Rattus norvegicus: one gene and its partners. The protein of the gene in region 1 interacts with the protein of each later gene in a pairwise test. Links are inferred from orthologs where the notes say so. Each region holds a gene or a part of one and is shown in the gene's direction. Other genes may lie near its edges.

Region 1 (4,184 bases):
GGTCTAATTTAGGAAGTATGGACATCCCGCGTCAGTTCCCGAAACCCGAAACATTTTATTTTAGGTTACATGGGACAGGAGTGAATGTGTGTGTGTGTGTGTGTGTGTGTGTGTGTGTGTGTGTGTGTGTGTGTGTGTGTGTGTGTGTGTGTGTGTGTGCGCGCGCGCGCGCGCGCGCGCATGCGTTCTGAGTTCAACCCCAGTCACACCTCAGCTCTGCCCAGAGAGCCCCTGGCTGTCTTTTCCCTCACTCCTCTCTGCTTTTGTTTGTTTGGTCTTTAAAAGAGACTATTTTTAGCGCATGTGTGTCTGTTCACATGTGTGCGTTTTTTTGCGCCTGTGTGTTTGTGTCTAATGAGACCTCCAGAGGGTGTGAGGATGCCCTGGAGTTGGGGTTACAGGCAGGTGTAAGCTGTCCCATGTGGGTGTTGGCCACCAAAATTAGGGTGTCTGGGAGAGCAGCAAGTTCTCTTAACTACTGAGCCTATTTGTTTAATTTTTTTTAAAGGATTTTCCCCCCAAGACAGGGTTTCTCTGTCAGCCCTGGCTGTCCTGGAACTTGATCTGTAGACCAGGCTGGCCTTGAACTCAGAGATTTGCCTGCCTCTGCCTCCCGAGTGAGAACCTTTGTGGGGAACCAGCCTCTTGGTTCTTTGGTTCTTTTTTTTTTTTTTTTTTTCCAGAGCTGGGGACCGAACCCAGGGCCTTGCGCTTCCTAGGCAAGCGCTCTACCACTGAGCTAAATCCCCAACCCCGGGAACCAGCCTCTTGAGGTGAAGCTTCTGTCTTTTTTTTTTTTTTTTCTTTTTTTCGGAGCTGGGGACTGAACCCAGGGCCTTGCGCTTCCTAGGTAAGCGCTCTACCACTGAGCTAAATCCCCAGCCCCGACGCTTCTGTCTTAAAGGGGTGCGTTTCCACAACACTGGGCGAGAGCACTGGAGATGCGGATAATTGTGGTTATAAAAATGGGTGCCCATGGGGTTGGGGATTTAGCTCAGTGGTAGAGCGCTTGCCTAGCAAGCACAAGGCCCTGGGTTCGGTCCTCAGCTCCGAAAAAAAAAAAAAAATGGGTGTCCTTTTCCCTGGCCTGTTAGGTTCTGAGCAGCGGGCTAGGTACTCTTCGTGCCTTCCAGCATCCCATCTGGAGAGAAAAACCACCACCATTGCTATGAACCCCAGAACAGAGCCCTGGGTGTGTCCGAGGCTCCCCTAGGCCCCAGAGACTCCACCGACAGCTTGTCATATGGCTAACAAGATGAGGAGTCTGAGTCAGTGTTTCCTGGACAGCTGTCGCACCCGTGTGAGCTTCACAGCTTTGCCTGAGGCTGAGGGTAAACTCCAGTTTGGGGTGTGGGGAACCGGAATCAGGGTGCTGAGGCAGGAGTAGAGGGTGGGCCTCATTAGCTCCAGGCTATCGTATCCCCGTGTAGAGAGGCAGCCCAGAGCTGCGGGCCTTGATGGCTTTGCCTTACTCCTGGGCCATCTGGCTAACCTGAACTTCAGTTCTCCTTCAGCACCACTAGAAAACCTTACTGGATAGCTCTGCCCAGAGCCCTCAGCCTTCCGTGGAACACCAACCGCTGATGGTTAATAGAGACTTGATTGGACCTGGGAAGAACTAAGAGACTCTGGGTAAGCATGGGAAGGCATTTCTCGGAAGGACTGACTGAGAGGTAAAAGAGACTCTCCCAAGGTGGGCGGTACCTTCTGGGGTGGCGTGATGTAAGAAGTCTGGGGGTGGGGCATAGTGCCGTTGGCTTGCCCACCTTTGCGTCATGCTTGTGAATGTATCCGTTCTGTTGCTGCTGCAGCCGCTGCTGCAACAGAATCCCACCGTTTCAACCTTCCAATGTCTCCGGAAGGCCTATGATGACTCCTGGGGCTCTTCCGGAACCTTCCACGCATTCAGTGCCACATTGGGACTACTGAGGAACCCAGTGTCCTGGAGAAGCTATGGTATCCTCAGCCTCTCCAGCGCGCGGACTCTTGTCGTCGTTCGAGCAGATCTAACAAGCTCCTTTGTAATAGACATTCCTTCTATCCCTCTGTTCCCTGACTAATACATCCACTCACTTGACGCGTCCAAACCCTGAGAGATGCCGCCTGTGGCCTGTTCATTTGGCGATGTCTTCTAGGTTCTAACCTAGAAGTTAAAGTTTGGAACCAGTGTTCACGGAATTCCTGGTAAATGAACGAACGAACACTACACTGTCGCAGGCATTCCTCTGGGTCCCTAGACTGGTGGACTTCAGAGCTCACAGTGAGGCTCGCCCCCCAGGGAGGGGTTCGGGAAAACTTCCTTCTATGCACCCTGTTGAACATCTCTCGAGCCTGCGCTAGGGAGGGGCAGAAGTGGGCAGTTTTCTCCTCCTGGTCTCATTTCTCTGGTTTATGGAATGTTCTGGACATATTGAACGAACCTTGTGCTCTGCTAAGTCAGGCCCCACAGCCTGGCTCCTGGAAGCAGTTCGAATACAAGGCATGAAAGCAGCTAGTGTGTGTGTGTGTGTGTGTGTGTGTGTGTGTGTGTGTGTGTTTGTCTGTCTGTCACCTTTTAGATCCCCAAGTCCCAGAAAGCCTCCTTGAGGTGAACTGTGGCCTGAGGATCCACACAGGTCTTCTTGGCAGAGCTGAGTGTGGGGGTGGACCGTGGGCTAGGCCGGAGGAGAGCATCCTCACTATTTGGTTAGCCTGAAGGCTCCTGTCCTCCACATACCCAACACACATGGGTAGAGGAGGGGGGTCATCATACCAGGGCCTGTCCTGCGCGTATCCGTGCACACACAGGTAGAGGAGAGGGTCATCGCACCAAACCGCAAACCCCCATCCTGCGCGTACCCCTACATGAGAAGCAGGGATTAGGAGCGCGCAGGAACCACACTCGCCGAGCTCGGGAACAGGCGGCCGGGCGGGCGCGGCCTCCGGGTACCGCGGCGCTGCCACCTGCGCAGCCACCGCGCCGCCATTGGCTCGCGGAGAAGCCGCTCTAATCCGCGCCGCCTCCGCCCCCGCGCGGCGCTGCGCTCCGCGGAGTCTCTGACCTTCCTCCTTCCCGCAGCCCCAGAGAGACGCGCGGCGGTCGCGCCTGCCTTCTCCTCCTCCTTCTCTTCCTCCCCCGGGAAGCCATCCGGGCTTGAGGCTGGGCCGCCGCCGCCGCCGCCGCCCACTTTGCTACCCGCCCCGCCGATGGTGTCCGGTGCTCCGGCACCCAGGTAGGGGGTCTAAGACGTTGAGAGAGTGCGGGGTGGGGGCGGGGGTAGGGTTGGGGTGTGTGGGGGAGTCCAGGGCCCTAGTGCGGGGTGCAGGTAGCCAGCGTGTGATGGCGTTGGACACAGCCGAGGGCAGGTACCTGGGGAGAGGAGGGCGCGCGCCCTGGGATGCTCTTGGACTTGACCCAGGCAGTGCCAGGATGGCCTCTGGGGATGTTAAAGGGGAGGCCTCTACCCTGGGGAAAGGGAGAGGAAATTGGATCGTTGGAAAGCGGGGGCCTGGCCCCCCGATGTTGAGTGTTTTTCTGCGACCAGCTGGGATGGGTGGGCTGATGCCAGCTTGGTGCGTAGGTTATTTCTGGATCAGAGTGGGCTGGGGAGAAGCACAGCCGGCGATGTCTGGTTTAGATTACAGGTACTTCCTTCTTTGCTTCCGACCCCTCCCCCCCACCAGCTGGGGGTGGGCGGTGGAAGGAGAGAGGAGGTGTGGGTGCTGAGGGCCCCCGCAGATGCTGCAGAATCCTCTCTGCGCCACCCCGCCTTCTCGAATCTCCACCAACCTCAGACCATTTGGTCACGGTTGGGGCGCTCTCCGGGCTGTGTTCACCTTTCAGGAGGCTGTGCAAAGGTTAAAGGGTCATTAATGTGCCTGCGACACAGTGGCAAACCCCAGGGCTTGGCTAGACTCAGCTTCAAACCCTCGGCTTGGCTTTTAAGTTCCAGCCTTACCCTCCACCTCCCCCACCTCCCCCAAACCCAGCTCTGCAGCCTGGGGGGGAACACACACATGCGACATCTTCTTCTTCTAGGCACAACCAGAAATAGCCCATTGTCAGGGGCCCTGGCACAGCTGGGGTGCAGGTTGCCAGTGGTCTGGGAAGCTCTGCCCACAGCCTGGTTTTCTTGTCAGATCTTTGCCTGGCTACTCAGATCACTCTCTCTAAGGAGCTTTCTGGTGCCCCAGGTGAGAGGTCA
Region 2 (4,225 bases), on another chromosome or scaffold:
AATTCCAGAAATCATTGGAGGTGGTTGCAATGAATGAGAACCTTTTATTAAGCACGGGTTATAAATACTAGTTTAATTTTAATGTGTGCCAAAAATGTAAGTCCTTTGTTAGCCCACATCATGTTTTTATGTCTATCACAGATTTGTCACTTGGGGTATCCATTTATATATTCTTTAATTTAGCATTATTTTCTGAGGTAAGCTTTTGGACTCATCAATATGACTTTAAAATAGTTGGCAAGCTTCTAAGAATGAGGAGAGGATATGCTAATACCCTTGGTTGTCAGGTGGGACACCTCCTCTGAGAATACTTGTAGGAACCGAAACTACAAACAAGCAAGCACTGAGATTCCTTTATTTCTGTGAAACTTCCAGGAGGCCACTAAATCTCTGCTGTTCTTTCTTAGCTTATAGACTGTCATCATGAGAACGTCCAGTCCTCAGATCACAGCTGTTGGATGTTTACATCAAGAGAAGCATGCCTGGGAAGACAGGACGAGCTTAAACCTGCCAGGGATTAGAAAGATCACAATGTCAGAGGTGCCATTTACAGGCTAGCAACCGCAGGGGTCAGTAAGGTTAAAAAGAAAATCCAGCACTTGGAAGGTCAGACTGCAGGTAGTCAATCAGCAGAGCTCGTTCCACGAGCTCTCCTCACTTCCGCTACAGCTTGGGCCCTCCCTGGGGTTTTGCTGGCCAGGTATCCTCCCTGTCCGCCCACTGTCCCTCTTGGGTTCGCGGGGCTTCCCAAAGCTATGCTCTGGCAGTGGGGGCTGGAACGAGCCGCCTAGACGATTCCTGTCCACCGGTCTCCCCCGCGGTACCCTAAAGCCGCGTGCCCCGGGGAGGGGTGCGGGGTGGGGTAGGAAATTCCTCCTCGCTCCACGTCCCCGCCCGCTCGCCCTATCCGTCCCCTCTCCGGCTGGCTGCCCTGCTCGCTCCGATGCCGACCTCGTCACCTTCACTTCTGCAGGGCGAGTTGGCCGAGGCGACTGCGAGCTCGGGACTCCCGGCAGGGCTATGGGGCAGGGTGAGTTGGGGCGCTGGCGCGGCGGCCGTTCTTCCGCCGCGCGCTCGCTCCGGGGCGTCCGAGCCAGCCGCGCGGGGGAGGAGCGGAGCTCCGGGTGGAGTGCGCGGAGCCTGGACGGGCCGGGTCCCCTAAAGCAGGCAGCGGTTTGGGAAAGCGGGGGCGCTGTGGTCCGCAGCACCTCCGGAAAAGTTTACACGGGATTCTGTTGGTGCGCAGCGGGCTGCTGGAGCCCAAGCACCAACTGCGGGCGTGGCGACCGTCCCGCGCCCGGTCCGCTCCTCCTCCTTCGCAGCCGGGGCGGCCGCGCGCCGCCCCTTCGCCCCCGACTGGCTGCGGGTTGCGGCCGGGGCGGGGACCTGTGGCTGGCATCGCGGCGCCCTCAGGCAGGGACCGACCCGCAGGTGGAAGCGCCCCGGGGAGGCGGGGCTGCCCCCAGCTGCCGTGGGTCGAGGCGGGCTCTTGGCTGTCCCGCTCCCGCCCTGACCCGCCGGCCTCTCCCACCCCAGCAGTGACGCGCCGCCTCCGAGCTCGAGCCCGCGCCGCGGCCAGCAGCGCGATGGACCGCAGTGCCCGGGATCCCGTACCCCGCAGCGCGCCTCGCACCCCCGCCACGCAGTCTGCCGGCTCTGCAGGGTAAGTAGGGTAGTTGCCCTCCCGGCTGCCGAGGCCTCGCGCGCTTCACCTGCCCGCAGCGAGCTCCCCGCGGGGCCGCCCGGCTCCCGGGCCGACCCACACGCGGGCAGGAGACTGCGTCCTCCCGGGCGAACCGGGGTGGGGGGTTCGCTGGTTTGGGCGAGCTTTCCGATCGGGGGGTTGCGGAAGGCCAGTCGAATGGCAGGCGTTGGGTGAGGAGTCCCGGAGCAAAAGTGGTAACAAAGGGCCCCTTGTTGGGGCTGTGGAGCGGCGGGGGACGACACCTGTAAGTGCGCTCCGGGAAAGGAAGGAAAAGTTTCCACGGCCAAGCGCTCGGGCCCAGGCGGGTGGCTTCTGTCAAGGTGACTGCAAGAAAGGGGCTTCCTAGAAGTCCTCGGAGGGCTCAGCAAGGTGTGCCAGCTGTCAGCCCGGCTTGACAGTTCCGGGAGCAGGCGGGGTGCTCGCCTCTGACTGGGGGTGTGTGTGTGTTGTGTGCCTCTGGCCAATTGGTGATGCCAAAGCCGAGCGCGAAGCCAGTCGCATTGGCAAACACCTATACTTTTTTTTTTTTTTTTTTTTTTTTTTTACCGTCACGTGTTTGAGGAGCGATTGGAAGGGAAGGGGCTGTCACATGGTGAGTTAATATTAAATGAAGCATGCCTTCCTGCCAAATATGCTAAAAATCACTCTGTTAAACGTTTGGGTAAACAGTGGTGAGAACAGGTAGTCCTGCAAGGGCCAAGCAGAACTTGAGAATAACCTTTGTCGTGGTAAACGGTCAAACTACACAACCCTGCTTCAGTTGAGAACGCCCCATTGCTATCTTGTAGCCTCTTTACCATAAAGCACCCCCAATTTCTTTTTTCTTTGTTAATCAGAATCTAGAAATGCCCTAAACAAAGTATGAACATTCCGGAAATGGGAACGTTAAGGAACAGGCGACTTTGTAAGCAATGAATGAGAGTCGTTCAGTTTTTTGTTTTTTGTTTTTTGTTTTTTTTTTTTTTTTTTTTTGTGGTTTAAGAGTGAAGAAGTCATTTTTCCCTGGAACATGACAGGCGTTTCCTTAGGAGCAAGTCACAGCATGTTTATTCGTCAGAGGCCATGCGAGCATTGGCAGTTGTCTAGAGGAAACATGGAAGAGTCTCAAGGCTGCATGACTAATCTAACAGATATTTAGTGTAATGCATACGTAGAGGAAATTTGCAGCGTATGAATTCGTTCTTTTTTTCTCTAAAGTTTGATCTTCTCCATGCAAGTATCCCTATTGCTACAGAGCTCCACTTTTTCTTGGCGGGGGGGGGGGGCAGTTTAGATACTAATGTGTCTCCTTCCATGTATTTTAGCTGTGTGAAATAGTAAATATGTTGATGGGATTCTGAATGTAAAACAAGGCCTGGGGACAGAGCTGTGGGTTTATGTAAGTTAACGATGAACCAGCTTTCACCCGAAACTGAATTAGACTCTTAAGAAAATAGCAGAGAATTCCATTGTGCATTTGTGTCATACATTTACACAGAACGCAGTCACAGATGCTCGAGGGTCAGTTCTTTTGAACAAAGTAGGGGAGGGCAGAGAGCTCTGTGACGGAGCAGCGTGAAGAGCTTTCTAGTGATAAGCCTAGAGCACCCCAGTTTGTATGCTCGAGAACGTAGGGGCTAAACCACTGAGTTCCTTAAGAGCATGAATATAATTAAATGCTCAATGAGTCATTCATTCATTCATTCATTCATTCATTCATTCATTCATTCGAGACTCCCTTTAGCCCAGGGTGGTCTGGAACTGCATTTATAGTTGAGGGTAGCCTCCTGCTTCTGACTCCCAAAATTGAGGTTACAGGCACACACACCACCACACCCCACAGAGGAAAATATTTTAAAGGACCTTTGCACTTACTTTTCAAACTTCAGGGAAGACATCTGGGAAAATGCACCTGTAAATAGACCGCAAGAATACCTAACACTGTTCTTTTAAAAAATACCTAACACTGTTCTTTTAAAAAATTGAGCTTCTAATGGCTCGTCTTCTCCCACTTGTCTAGTCCAAGGCTTGTTACGTCCTTTGAGTATCCAGGATTAGCGTTTGCTTTTGCTTTTTCTAAAAAAAAAAAAAAAAAAAAAAAAAAAGCCCTTTAAAAAAGGTTTAAATTGTGGGAAAATGAGAATATTCAGGAGGTGGCAGGGTGCGATCCTGATATGCTATAATTGTTGGTTTTGAAGGAAGGCTCCTTACTATAGAACTAATTATATCATGACTCAATAACCTAATAGGTGGTGAGGCCTCCTTTAGTTCTTATCCCTGGATATTGTTGTTCAAAAGAAGTCCTCTGTTGTCTGTAATTTTCCAAGGTCTAGGCCTCTGTAACAGGTTATTTGAAGGACAAATCAGTGCAGCTCCACATTTTACGACGGGGTGGGGTGTGGGGGAGGAAATGCTCTGCCAGAGTTACTGAACCAATTAGTAAAACCTGAGGTTTGAGGTGTCCGTTCACTGTGGTAATTGATTTGACTGTCTCCTGACTGTGATCTACATTCTAACATACTGGTGTTGAATCGTTAACTG
Region 3 (4,028 bases), on another chromosome or scaffold:
CCGCACGGGAACAATAAAGTTTCCCTTGTTGAGGCCGCTTCCGCCGGAAGTGGATAAGGGACGGTCCGGAAAAATACGTGCCTGGGCGTGGGGTGGGGTAAACAGCATTCTTTCCAGAGCGCGTGCGCCCTTCTGATGCAGCGGGCGCAGTCTTTAGTGCTGGCAGAGACAACCCAGGGGTCGGGCTTGTCCGGGGACCAGAGCCAGAAAAATGATGAAGCCATTCACAGAAGCCGAGGCAGGGGGATTGCGAGTCTCAGACCAGCGTTTCTGTGTAGTGAGACCCTGTTTCAAAGCATCAACAACAAAACCCAGAAACAAAACAAAACAAAACAAACCTCTACCACAGTTCTCAGTGTTCAGAACCCTGCCCTGAGTGCTTATAGCACTGGCGGGACGGGACACAGCAAGTTCGAAGCCACGCTAGGCTGGATGATACCCTAGCCTATGGGTCTCTACTTTGTGACTGTCATCCAGTGTCTGCCTGTCTCTGGCTACAGGATAGAATGAATGAGCAATTGAGGTTCTCGAGCAGAGGAAAGACCCCTGGGCCCCCTGCCAACATTTCCCGGGTTAGTTTCTGGGGTGCAACTCCTGGGATAGCACAGAGCATAGGGTCAGGTCCACTGAGCTACTCCCACGTGGTACACAGGTGCCCAGAGATGCAGGGAGAGAGGTGAAGAGTATAGATTGGAGGCTCACAAATCTCCTGTGATATCCTGCTTCCGTGAGCCATCTAGAGATGGGAGGCACCATCTGACCGTTCTGCCTGTTGGTAATCAACAGACACAGGACCAGGCCATGGTAATGGTGACTGGGGGTCCAGGTCAATGGCAGCATATGACAACTGAAGCCCCCTGACCCTCGTGGGGACCCCAAGAAAGGCTTCGAGGAGGCAGGAGTGTACAGGGAGATGGGAGAGGTCGTCCTTGGGCTGCCCTTCTGAGCAAGCTGACCAACAGCAGATTGTCTCCTCCCTTGGCTCATCCCGTCCCCTTGGGGCAGGCGCATACTCCCCCCGCCCCCCAACCTGATCGGGTGTCACCTAGACTCTGCTGCTGGCAGCTCACAGCTGGAGCGGGTAACCAGAGAGGCTGCTTGGAGGCTGGGCTCCGGCTTGGAGTCGCCTGAGGTAGGGGGATGCGGGTGAGGAAGGCCCAGGGAAGTCTGGGTGCTGGTGCTGCCCCATGGGTGTTGCCTGCAACAGTCTGAACACATGCATCGGCACACCTGTGACAGGCACACACATCCCACGCGGGAGCCGTGGCCTAGGCACAGTGCGCAGCGTTACCTGTGCTGTGTCACCTCTTCCAGGAGGCAAACCCTTAAATCCACAGGCCTTCCTTGCTGCCTTGCCGCGATTTCCTTCCCACTGGTAGCATGTGGACAACTATTGGGTGTTTTGTCACCCACCCTTGATGGTGGGTGTGGGGTGAAAGTGAACCTGAATCGTCAGACTGATTAGTAGAGGAGGTGGGGTCAGTGGATGGGTGGGTGGATGTGTGGGTGGATGTATGGATGGGTGGGTGGGTGGATGGATGAGTGGGTGGATGAGTGGATGAATGGGTGGGTGGGTGGTTGGATGGATGGTGGGTGGATCTGCCCTGAATAATTGCTCTTGCTTACCAAGAGTAGTGACAGTTTTGACCTGACTTTCTTGCAAAGGACTGACTGTCCAGTGTGTCTTCCCCTCTAGCTCCATTACATACAAACCCAGGTTAGAGGTATAGGAGGAGACCCAGGTCCGGAGACCTCAGGAAACTCCATTTGTGGAGGGAGTTAGTCCTGTCTGGGAGAGGCGATTTTATGAATAGACATTTCACGGAGAAGTGTGTCTGGGTGGTGGGAGTTCATGTCATCAATGACCGCACAAACTCCAGGTCGCAGAGCCTTGTGAACTGCTGAGCTAATGCTGGTGGTTGTGAGACACTCTCAGCCCCGGCTTCAGGGAGCTGCACCGAGCTGCCCAGATATGGAGGAATTATCTCTGTTTACAGTTGAGGACAGTTCCCTCAGAGAACACAAGTAACCTGCACCAGGAGACAAAGCGGATCTGCCCAGGCTGTGTTGTGCAGGACAGTGTGGCTGACCACCCAGCATCCTGTCTCTCACCCCACCCACGCCTTGCCCAGAAACAGGACGAGAGCCCCTAGCAGGCGTGATGAAGACCCTCCGGGCACGGTTCAAGAAGACAGAGGTGAACCTGCAGGTTTGGGGGAGGGGATGAACCCACCACTCCCTCCTTCTGCTCAAACCCCCCACCCCCTGTGGCTTAGCACCATCAGTCCACTGCTTCTCTTTTAGGCTCCGCCTTTTGTCCCCTACCCGGTTCCCCTGGCTGCTCTGTGGTGATGCTAAGCCCATGTGGGTTCACCGAGTCCCACTCGTGGCTCAGTTCCCCTCCCCCAACGCCCACTCAGGGTCATGGTGGTCGCCGTGGCATCCCTTGCTCCGTTGCACATGCTGGCAAGGAGTCTCTGAGATACCCGCAAACTCTCCCTGCCCCTGTTTTCATTTTCATGTCTGAATTTAGTGATTCCTGAGGGAAGAATTCACTTGGGAGTGCTCTGCTGTGAGCCCTGGTCTCTCGCTCACTCTGATTCTTCCAGGAATGAACTTATATCATGTGCCTTTGAGAGGGGAAGGGTGGCTCAAGGAGCCGTGGAAGCTCCTCAAAGTCACACAGCTCGGAATTGATTTGCCTGTCTTGGGTAGATGTTGGAGATAGGTATCAGTAGGTGTGACCTGCACGGGAATGGGGAGGGGAGGGTGTTGGTGCGGGCGAGAGCGGGAGAGAAGGAGCTAGTGAGAGCCAGAGAGCAAGAGTGGGGGGGGGGGGCGAGAGAGCGCGCGAGGGGGGGCGGAAGGCTGGGGATGAGGTGGGAAGAGAAGAGAGAGGAGGACTGTTGCTTTCCTACACAGTAAGGCTGGACTGGTCCCTTATTATTTTCCACCTGGTCCATTATTTCCCAGATAAATTTTTGACAGAATCCCTGAGTATCTCAGTCAGTTGGAAACCAAGTCATTGCAAATGCTGAATAATGGGCTGGCAAGATGGCTCAGTGGGGAAGGGTACTTGCAGCCAAGGATGCATACCCAAGGGTTATTAAAGTATATTTTATTATTTTATGTGTGTGAGAGTGCTGTCTGTCTGTCTGTCTGTGCTGGGAACTAAACTGTGTTCCTTTGAGATAGCAGCCATTGATCTAACTGCTAAGCCATCTCTCCTGAGTTTGATTCCCAGAATCCACATGGTAGAAGGAAGAATGACTCCACAAAGTTATCCTCTGACCCCTGCCTCCGTGAATGTGTGCACGCATACACACAAATGCAACTTAAAAAAAACTCTTTTAAAAAGATTTATTTACACTGTCCCTCTCTTCAGATGCACCAGAAGAGGGCATCGGATCCCATTACAGATGGTTGTGAGTCACCATGTGGTTGCTGGGAATTGAACTCAGGACCTCTGGAAGAGCAGTCAGTGCTCTTCCTGCTGAGCGATCTCTCCAGCCCTTATAAAAGCAATTTTTAAGTTAAGGAAAAATAAGTTTTGAGAAGTTTAATGATGGCTAAAGCCTTTAATCCCAGCACTTGGGACAGCCAGAGCTATTACACGGGGACATCCTCCGTGAAAAAAAAGACCCACTCATTTAAAAAGCTGAATTATTTCAGAATCTTGCAGCCCACCCCTGGCAAGAGACACTTAGCTTGGAATGGTTGTGTTTTTGTGGGGCTTTGGTGAAGGGGCAGCAACAGGGTAGGGAGGGGCAGGGCCCTGGCACTGGACCAGACTGGGCAGCAGATGGGAGGCCTGGTCAGCCCCTTCCTGCCAGGAACTGGTCTGCCACCCCCACCCTTCTCTGGTTTCCCCACGGCAGCCAGGGAGAAGCTTGGCTTTTGGCTCTGCAGCCCCTAGGGAAGAAAGCGAAGTCTCATGGTTGCCTGGAGGGCCCCTGGGTCTCTCCTGCTGTGGCCAAGTGCCAGGCTGCAGCCTTGCAGATGTCAGCTCCGCTGAGTTCTAGTTCCTG
Region 4 (4,179 bases), on another chromosome or scaffold:
CCGCAGCTCAGGGAACCGACCCAAGGCTCCGCCACTGCCGGCTAGCCGCCCGACAGCCCGCCCGCCTGGCGAGCGCAGGCTCTTCTTCCAGAAACTGCGAGGATTGGAGAGCACTGTTTGTGCACCACAAGGTCAAGTCGGGAAGTGGAGTCGGAGGAGGAGGGGCGAGAAGGAGAGGGTGGGGAGAGGGGCGCCCCGCTTCTCTGCCAAGTACCAACCCAGGGAAGTTGCCCCTCGGTTTTTAACCCTTTGCGGTTATAAAAAGCACGAGGCAGGAGAAAGGGGGTACCCGGGGGCAAACTCCTCCTGAGGCTAGGACATGTTGCCACCCTGCTAGCCACCCACCCATCACAGTGCGCCTCACCCCCCCCCCCCGGAAATGCAGGGCAGCACCGGGCGCCAGGAGGCACCCGCGAGGGGGAGGGGGCAACGAGCCCAAGAAGGGACCCCCCTCTAAGGACTGCCCCTCTCTTCCGGAGGTCGCCCACAATTTCAACTTTCCCTACCTAGGATGCTAGTTTGCATTTGGTGTGGGTGGGGGGAAGGAGGACCGCGCCCCCTCCCCCAGCCCCATGCGCGCCCCTCCCCTGCACTCCTGCCTGCACTTTCTGCTCACTTCTGGCGCTGCAAAAAACGCCACGCGATTTATTCGATTTCGATTTTAAAACCAGTGATTCCGAAACCGGGCGGAGGGCGAGGGTCTTCCAGCACCGGAGTCCCTGGGGGTGGGGCGGGCGGGCTGGGTACTCCGTGCAAGCCTCGTTTCCTCCGCGAGTGTCGCCTCCAGGCTGTTATTTGCAAAGAAACGTCTTTTTGACGCAGGGAGAAATGGCAAATTTTAAGTACGTCATTAATATGGCGCCAAAAGATTTTTTTAAGTATAAGCTTGCTTTTTTTTTTTTTAAGGTTGCGGGGGGCTCCGCCTGGGTCTGGGGCGCGAAGGGGGCGGGGTGTGAGCAGAAAGTGTGAGTGAGCGAGTGGAGGGGCGGGGTATGTGTGTGAGTGTGTGAAGTGTGAGCCGACCTGATGGGACTTGCACGGGCTCAGCCGGCGCTCGGGCCCGGCCCTGGGGACAGGGCGGGCTGGGGGCGCCCCAGAGTCCACGAGGAGTCCGGGCCCGCGTGCAGGCGGACGGGTGACCGTGCAGGGCACCCCCCCCGGGGGGGCCGCAACGCTACCTGGGACTGTCGCCGGAGCCAAACAACTGGGAAGGGGGGGGACACGACAGGGGGGTGCCGGGAGCGGAGATCCGAGTGAATTAGAAAAAAGTGGCTACTCCCCCTCCCTCTCTTCTTGCCCGCCCCCACCCCACCCCCACCCCAACACATTTTTTCCCCCTCTAAAGAGATCACAAGGAAGTCTTGGTTTAAAAAGAAACAGAAACATACACGGGGGTTGGTGAATGGTGCCGACCGCGGCCATCGCAGTTGGAGGCTATTTTTTGGGGGGGTGAGTAGCGTCCATGGAGTTACTTTGCGCCCACTCCTAGTGGCACCAGCTCTGGACTGGAGGGCTGACCATCTTCCCAGCAGGGGTGCGGGGCTTGGGGGACGCTGCGGCCCGGTCGCCTCCCTCGCCACGACCCCGGATGGATGCGCGCCCCCCGCCCTCCCGCGCCGGCCCCAGGAGCTCCTGGCTTCAGGAGCATCCTTCCCGCGCCGGCCCCCGCCGCGGCGCGTAGCCGAGGGCAGCGCCCCTCGGGAGGGCACCGCGGAGCAAGGTAAGAGCCAGCCCCCGGCGGATGGGCCCTGCGCATCTCCACGGCGTTATTTTGTGGGCTTTTTTTTTTTTTCAACAGATCTGCCAGTGCTCCTCGCTCCCTCTCTCTCTTGCTCGCTCGCTCCCTCTCTCGCTGGCTGCCTGTTCTAGGAAGCCAGCGCGGGGGGTGGGGGGGGGGGGGACGCACAGCACTGGGGAGAGAGATTGCGCATGTTGGTCAGCCGTGTTTTAAAGAGTACAGTGCGGGGAGGCTGAGAGGGGCGCATGCAACAACTTTTGGAAGGGTGAGCCTGGCGACCTTCTTTATTAATGACTGCGGCAAAGCGCCCCTGGGCCGGCGAGGGGGCGCGGGCGGGTGGGGGCGCTGGGGCTGCAACTTGCCTCGCGGGCTCCGGCCGGCCCGAGGGGCTGCGGCGCGACCGGGGTGCGGGGTGGGGAGGCCGAGCGGCAGGGCACCGGGGCACGGGAAACCTGGAGCCATCTGCCCTTCTGTCTACCCGAGTTTCATTTTGTTGATACGCAGCACGTCCGGGTGCCGAACCGGGCTGAGCCGATGCACATGACCCCGCGCTGGGCTCACGTGCAGCCGGTCCAGTCCTAGACACCTTCCGGGGGCCACCGCCTCCGCCCTGCGCCCCCTTTCCAGGCTGGGTGCACGCGGGAGCTGCACGCGGGGGCAGCATGCTCGGTTCTTGGGTTCAGAGGCATTGCACAAATTAGTTTTTTTTTTCTTTTTAAGGGGCGGGGGACAACGTTCCCAGGTGAGTGCTGGGTGCGCAACCCCGGCAGCCAGGGTGCATATTGGGGTAGTGGACAGCAGCTTCCCGGTGCTGCGCGGGAGTCCGGTGGGGGAGAGGCACTGCGAGAGTGGAAATGTACCGGCGACGGCCGGAGCGGCGGGTGCGCGCTCGCGGGGCGACGGCAGGGGGCGTGGCCCTTGTTTACCTTCTCCCAACTCTGCTGGTTCGCGTCCCGCTTCAGGGACGACTCTGCAGCTCCCCCCCCCCTTCCCTCCGCCCTTACTAAACTCTGGGTGGTGCCTAGGAGCAGCAGACAAGTGGCGGGCCATGCCTGGGACACACGCACCTGACCCCAAAATGAGTGACATTGCAGCCCCCGCCCCCACCAAACACTGCTGCAGTCCTTCTGCCGGATCCCCGGCCCCGCCCCCGGCAGTGGCATCTTCCCGGCTCACCTCCTTCCTCCCTCTCCCTCCCTCCTTCCCACCCACTTGCCTGCGCCTGCGGAGCGGCTCTCGCTCGCCCACTCCCCGCCTGGGTGCAGACTTGTGGCTCCCCATGGTCCCTTCCCGCCCATCCCTGGGCTCTTGAGATCTCCCCTTCTTCGGGCAAGGGGTGATCTTGGGTCAGCTTGGAGACTCGTAGCTTTTCCGCCGGAGGGTGAGGACATCTGCAAAACCGGCTTGGAGGCTTCCCTCTACCTTCTAGGGAGGCCCAGCCAGCTCAGCCCGGTCCCCCTACTGCACACCTCTGCCCCGCTCAGTACCCCCGCCCCCACCCTGGGCTCAGTTGCCCTTCCCCAGTCCCCTAGACCCCTCCCCCGCCCCGGGCGCCAAGCCCACCCACCTCCTGGCACCGCCCCCGGCCCGAACCGCCTCTTGCCCTTCCTACGCCTGGGCCGGAGCCCCCCTCAGCCACCTCCGGCTCCTCCTCCCGGCTCCGGCGGTCGGAATCACGCCGGCGCGCCTCCAGCCTGCGTGCCCGTCGCCGGCCGCCAGGGGCAGGCTGGAGGCGGGCAACCCTCTTCTAATCCCCTTAGCCGCTGCAGCCGGCCTGTGCACTTTTTTTTTTAACCAGCTTGGCCTCAGGCCTCCTGCTGGGGGGCGGGGGAGGGGCGCCGGGTTTCTTTATGCCCCAGGGTACATTGCACTCGCTATCCGGAGTCTCTGCAGATTTCCAAACTTCACCCTTGTCCCAAGCACCCCACCCCCACCCCCACCTCATCTGCAGGATTCCGAGGTACAAAGTTTTACCCAGAGGCAGTTTGCAAGAGGTCAATGGGAGGGATTATGGTTGTTTTCAGAGAAGGTGCCAGAGGGGTTAGGGAGGGGCGGGGGCCCCGGTTTTGAAATAAAGAGTTCTGAGCCAGGAGGAACAAGTTAGGATGCTCCCTTCACATTTATATTTGCAAACACACCGGAGCTTGGGAGCTGGGTTCTCCTCCCAGAGTGGCACTGTCTCTCCTGTCACTGGTAAAATTCCCAGTAGGACATTTGGCAGAAGATCCCCGCAGAGGACTGCCAACCGAGCCTGGCCCTGTTTTCTGGGTTCCCAGGGTGCTGACTTCTTTTTCCCCTCGATTGATTTCTTTTGCCCCCTTAAGGGCCCCAGGCGAACACACCAGCCCTCCAGGCCCTCCTGTCCCATCTTCCTTGGGCGGGTTGGAACTTGCAGAGCAATCTACTAAGCGGACAAGGAAAATAAGAGAATGAACTGTAAG
Region 5 (3,510 bases), on another chromosome or scaffold:
AATGCCATAGGAGCTTGTAGAGACCTGAGGAGCTTCTTAGAGTTTCTTTCAAGTGCCATCTAGCATTTTAACAGGTGTGTTCCAGACTGGAAAAGGCCTGGTCCCCTCACCCTTTGTTTCACACGAGCTCATGTGGCAAGGTTATGACTAGTCATATCAGTGAGCATCTTCTTCTAAACGAAGTGTCAACCCCCTCATGACATGAAATAAATTGTCCCGGTGTCCTGTGTTTTCTTTTATGGTCCTAGGTTCCCATTAGAGATCCCTATTCAGTCTTCAGGAGACAGCTTAGAAAAGTACGTCTTCTCCTTGATGACTTGGGAGGAGAGAGGGCATATTACATAGGGCTTAGGTCAGCTGATTTTGAAATAACATTTGATACATAAGGTTGAGATTCAGACACCTATATCCGTTGACCTAATCGATGAATGCTGTCAATACATAGAGTTGTACGTGCTGGCTTCTGCTAAGGCAAGAGGGTATGTTCTCTGCAGTGGAGAAAGCCCCAAACTATTCATGATCCCTTTCATAGCAGTGTGTTTCGGACCTTAATATTTGGATGATAGCAGTCAGGAGCTACGTGCTTTTTTTATAGTTTGTATTCATACATTTATGTGGTGGAAATGGATCCCCCAGAGGGGTTAGTTAAACAAGTTATAATCAGTAACTATAGACCTGGGTGTACTGTGAGTCCAAAACCATCAGCTTGGAGAAACCCCAAAATTAGGGTTCTCCTTGACATGGTGGAACAAAGTGTGATACACAGTAGCTCTAGGCCACCAGAGAGACAATGAAGCATCATCAGGAAGGAAAACCTTGAACCAAATGCATCATATTTATTTTATATATGCGTAAACTAAATGCATACACAAAGTAAGTGCATTCATTTTGCAATAGAAAATTATACCACATATTAAAAGAATGCTTCTTAAACTCTTCAACGATAGCAACAAAAGAATGAACATCTCAAACTACAACGTCAGTAAACCACAGGCTGTCATCCAAAACGAACAAGAATGAAAGACAAATCTTCAATACAATACTAGCACATACAATTCAGTATTATTTTGGCCCTGTTCCAAGACATTTCTTTGTTCTGAAGGCTTTGTTGGGGTGCATGGTGCATGTTACTGTGTGCTCGCTCTAACTTCTAAGTTCCCTGTTGAGAGAGAGGTGAGTATGTATTCAAGCTGGACGGATCAGAATTCACTGCAGGGTTTCTCCTGCTCACACCTTAGTCTCTAAGTGAATGTTGAATGTGTCCTGGTCCCTCCCACCGAATGTCCTAGGGACACGGGGGTACCAGTACCGTGGAATTATTGTTGTAATGTTTGACGCATGCTGTTAATATCCTCTTAGATGGAACATGGGATAAGTAAGCACTGCCCTGGAGATAGTAGTGAGTATTTCGATGGTCTGAATATTGTTTAGTTACAATGAGTGAGAAATAGGGTATTTGGTGGATTTTTTTTTTTTTTTTGGCACTAGGTTTGCTCAGAGGGAAGGACGGAGGGACAAAACTAACCACTCACTGCTGTGATTTTTCTTCTAAGATGAGACTAAGCTTTATTTGTTTTATAGCTTGTCAAATAAGTGACCTAATAACACGATACCCAATAAGAGATCTGTTATATTTTCTAAATTAAACTTTTATGCATTCTTCTTTATTTTCTTAACACACACTATCTTTCTGTGAGAGACAGAGAGAGAGTGACTTTTATCGTATTGCAGTCAGTTATATATTCATTGTGGCAAAGATATTTTAAAATCATGAATAGATACTCAATTTTATAAGATGTTTTTAGTACTACTTGAGACATATATGTGTTTTTATGGTTCATTTTGGCAGTATGCTATATCATTATTTATTGACTTCCATGTATATATTGAACCAGGCTTGAATTCCAGGAAGAGATCCTACTTGTTCATGGGTACAATCTTTTTGCTGTGCTGTTGAATTGCAGTAATAGTATTTTATTGAGGATTTTTGTTTTCATTTCTGTTTGTTTTGGATGGCAACCTCCTCCTTGCTGATGTTACAGTTTGGAGATGCTCAGTCGTTTATGGCTGTTGTTGTTGAGTTTAAGGCGCATTGCTGTGTTATTCTTTGGGTATTCAGTGTAATTTTCGCTTGCAGTCTTTGTTTTGAGGTTTTCATTTTAGGTGAGGTTTAATTACTGATTCAGTCTCTTTATGTTATTGGTTCAAGACCCCCCTTTCTCTTTGATTTGGTCTTGGCAGAGTCTGTTAGTTTCTGCTGGGTAATACCTTAACGTATTGGCTTGTTATTCATCAGAGTGTCTATCAATTTATTCAATTTAAAATTTAGAGGATTTTTCGATACTTTACACTTCCAAATGATGGGATAATTCATGCCACAGAACCATAGGTTGTGTAGCTTTTGCTTATAGGATTTAGCTAACCTCACAGATCCATGCATTTATCTAGAAATGGAACTGTTGTTGTTTATTTATTATGATTTTGATGGGCTATTAAAGTGGTTAGCATTGAAACTGTTAACATGCCATCATAGAATTATGCATAAGAGCTTAAAAGTCTTAAAATCGCTAACACTGTCCTCCTCCTCTCCCTCCTCCCCCTCCTCCCCCTCCTCCTCCTCCGCCTTTTTTTATACACAAGTCTCATCTTTTCCATCTAGCCACATGGCCTTTCTCAGCCAGACAGAAGGGAACCTGCAGGCAGCCTCGATAACCCTGTTTTGTTTCTCCCTTTCAGCCGTGCGGTGATGGACCTCCTGGTTGAACTCTGCCTTCAGAACCACCTGAATCCTTCTCACCACGTCTTAGAGATCTGGTCTTCGGAGACCCAACAGCCTTTGAGTTTTAAGCCAAATACGTTGATTGGCTCCTTGAATGCACATACGGTATTTCTGAAAGAAAAAGTCCCTGAAGAGAAAGGGAAGCCTGGCCTAACCAAGGCCCCTGAGGTCAGTGGCCCTGTGCATTGTCTGAGAACATACAGACATACAGACTTACAGATATACAGACTTGTGCATCCGTATGCATGGGTGGTGGCCTCGGTTGGGGTACCAAACACACAGCTCTGTGTCACGGTTTCCTCGTTTATACCTGGTACTAACTTACAGGGTTTGCTCACAGGAGGCAGGACTTTACAAATTTACTAATGTTTATTGTTGCCATACTGATCCTTTCTGTATCATACAAATAGGACCGCTGCAGGACAACGTGTCCATCAGGACCTGCTTGGAGATGGAAGTGTTTCAGTATGGCAGTCACAGGTTCTGTGCAGCACCCAAACACTCATCCAGCTAATATAATCAAGAAGTAGATTTCTCAGATTCACTGTGGTCTGCTTATTAACCGGTGACTGCTTTCTTGACACACGTGTTTCTGGGTTTGGCTCCAGGAGGCGTAGTTCCATAAAAGTGTTTACCATTTTAGAGAGAGGGACTAGAAAGTTGAGTAAGGGACAAGAAGTGGGAAGAACTTGTGAGGAGTTGGGGGAGAGGAAAGAATACGATCAAAATAT

Evidence for each region.
Region 2: the proteins of Pacsin1 (region 1) and Cobll1 interact in binary tests that used the Homo sapiens proteins (3 or more experiments, as listed by UniProt). The link is inferred for Rattus norvegicus from reciprocal best matches to the Homo sapiens genes PACSIN1 and COBLL1.
Region 3: the proteins of Pacsin1 (region 1) and Ankrd24 interact in a two-hybrid assay, tested with the Homo sapiens proteins (2 studies listed by BioGRID and IntAct). The link is inferred for Rattus norvegicus from reciprocal best matches to the Homo sapiens genes PACSIN1 and ANKRD24.
Region 4: the proteins of Pacsin1 (region 1) and Jade2 interact in a two-hybrid assay, tested with the Homo sapiens proteins (2 studies listed by BioGRID and IntAct). The link is inferred for Rattus norvegicus from reciprocal best matches to the Homo sapiens genes PACSIN1 and JADE2.
Region 5: the proteins of Pacsin1 (region 1) and Cobl interact in binary tests that used the Homo sapiens proteins (3 or more experiments, as listed by UniProt). The link is inferred for Rattus norvegicus from reciprocal best matches to the Homo sapiens genes PACSIN1 and COBL.

The regions. Positions count from the first base shown.
Region 1 is NC_086038.1:5,718,545-5,722,728, forward strand, and holds the start of Pacsin1 (protein kinase C and casein kinase substrate in neurons protein 1), read left to right. Parts: upstream 1-1,384; 5' UTR 1,385-1,632; intron 1,633-3,115; exon of another isoform or gene 3,116-3,212; intron 3,213-4,184. UniProt on the Homo sapiens protein: Plays a role in the reorganization of the microtubule cytoskeleton via its interaction with MAPT; this decreases microtubule stability and inhibits MAPT-induced microtubule polymerization.
Region 2 is NC_086021.1:70,319,784-70,324,008, reverse strand, and holds the start of Cobll1 (cordon-bleu protein-like 1), read left to right. Parts: upstream 1-1,422; 5' UTR 1,423-1,536; coding exon of another isoform or gene 1,537-1,586; coding exon 1,587-1,663; intron 1,664-2,233; exon of another isoform or gene 2,234-4,225.
Region 3 is NC_086025.1:8,729,108-8,733,135, reverse strand, and holds the start of Ankrd24 (ankyrin repeat domain-containing protein 24), read left to right. Parts: upstream 1-1,225; 5' UTR 1,226-1,421; intron 1,422-1,997; 5' UTR 1,998-2,161; coding exon 2,162-2,197; intron 2,198-4,028. UniProt on the Homo sapiens protein: Component of the stereocilia rootlet in hair cells of inner ear.
Region 4 is NC_086028.1:36,620,909-36,625,087, reverse strand, and holds the start of Jade2 (E3 ubiquitin-protein ligase Jade-2), read left to right. Parts: upstream 1-1,378; 5' UTR 1,379-1,592; coding exon of another isoform or gene 1,593-1,720; intron 1,721-1,850; exon of another isoform or gene 1,851-2,003; intron 2,004-2,346; exon of another isoform or gene 2,347-2,480; intron 2,481-4,062; coding exon of another isoform or gene 4,063-4,146; intron 4,147-4,179. UniProt on the Homo sapiens protein: Scaffold subunit of some HBO1 complexes, which have a histone H4 acetyltransferase activity. Acts as an E3 ubiquitin-protein ligase mediating the ubiquitination and subsequent proteasomal degradation of target protein histone demethylase KDM1A.
Region 5 is NC_086032.1:91,183,693-91,187,202, reverse strand, and holds part of Cobl (protein cordon-bleu), read left to right. Parts: intron 1-2,736; coding exon 2,737-2,947; intron 2,948-3,510.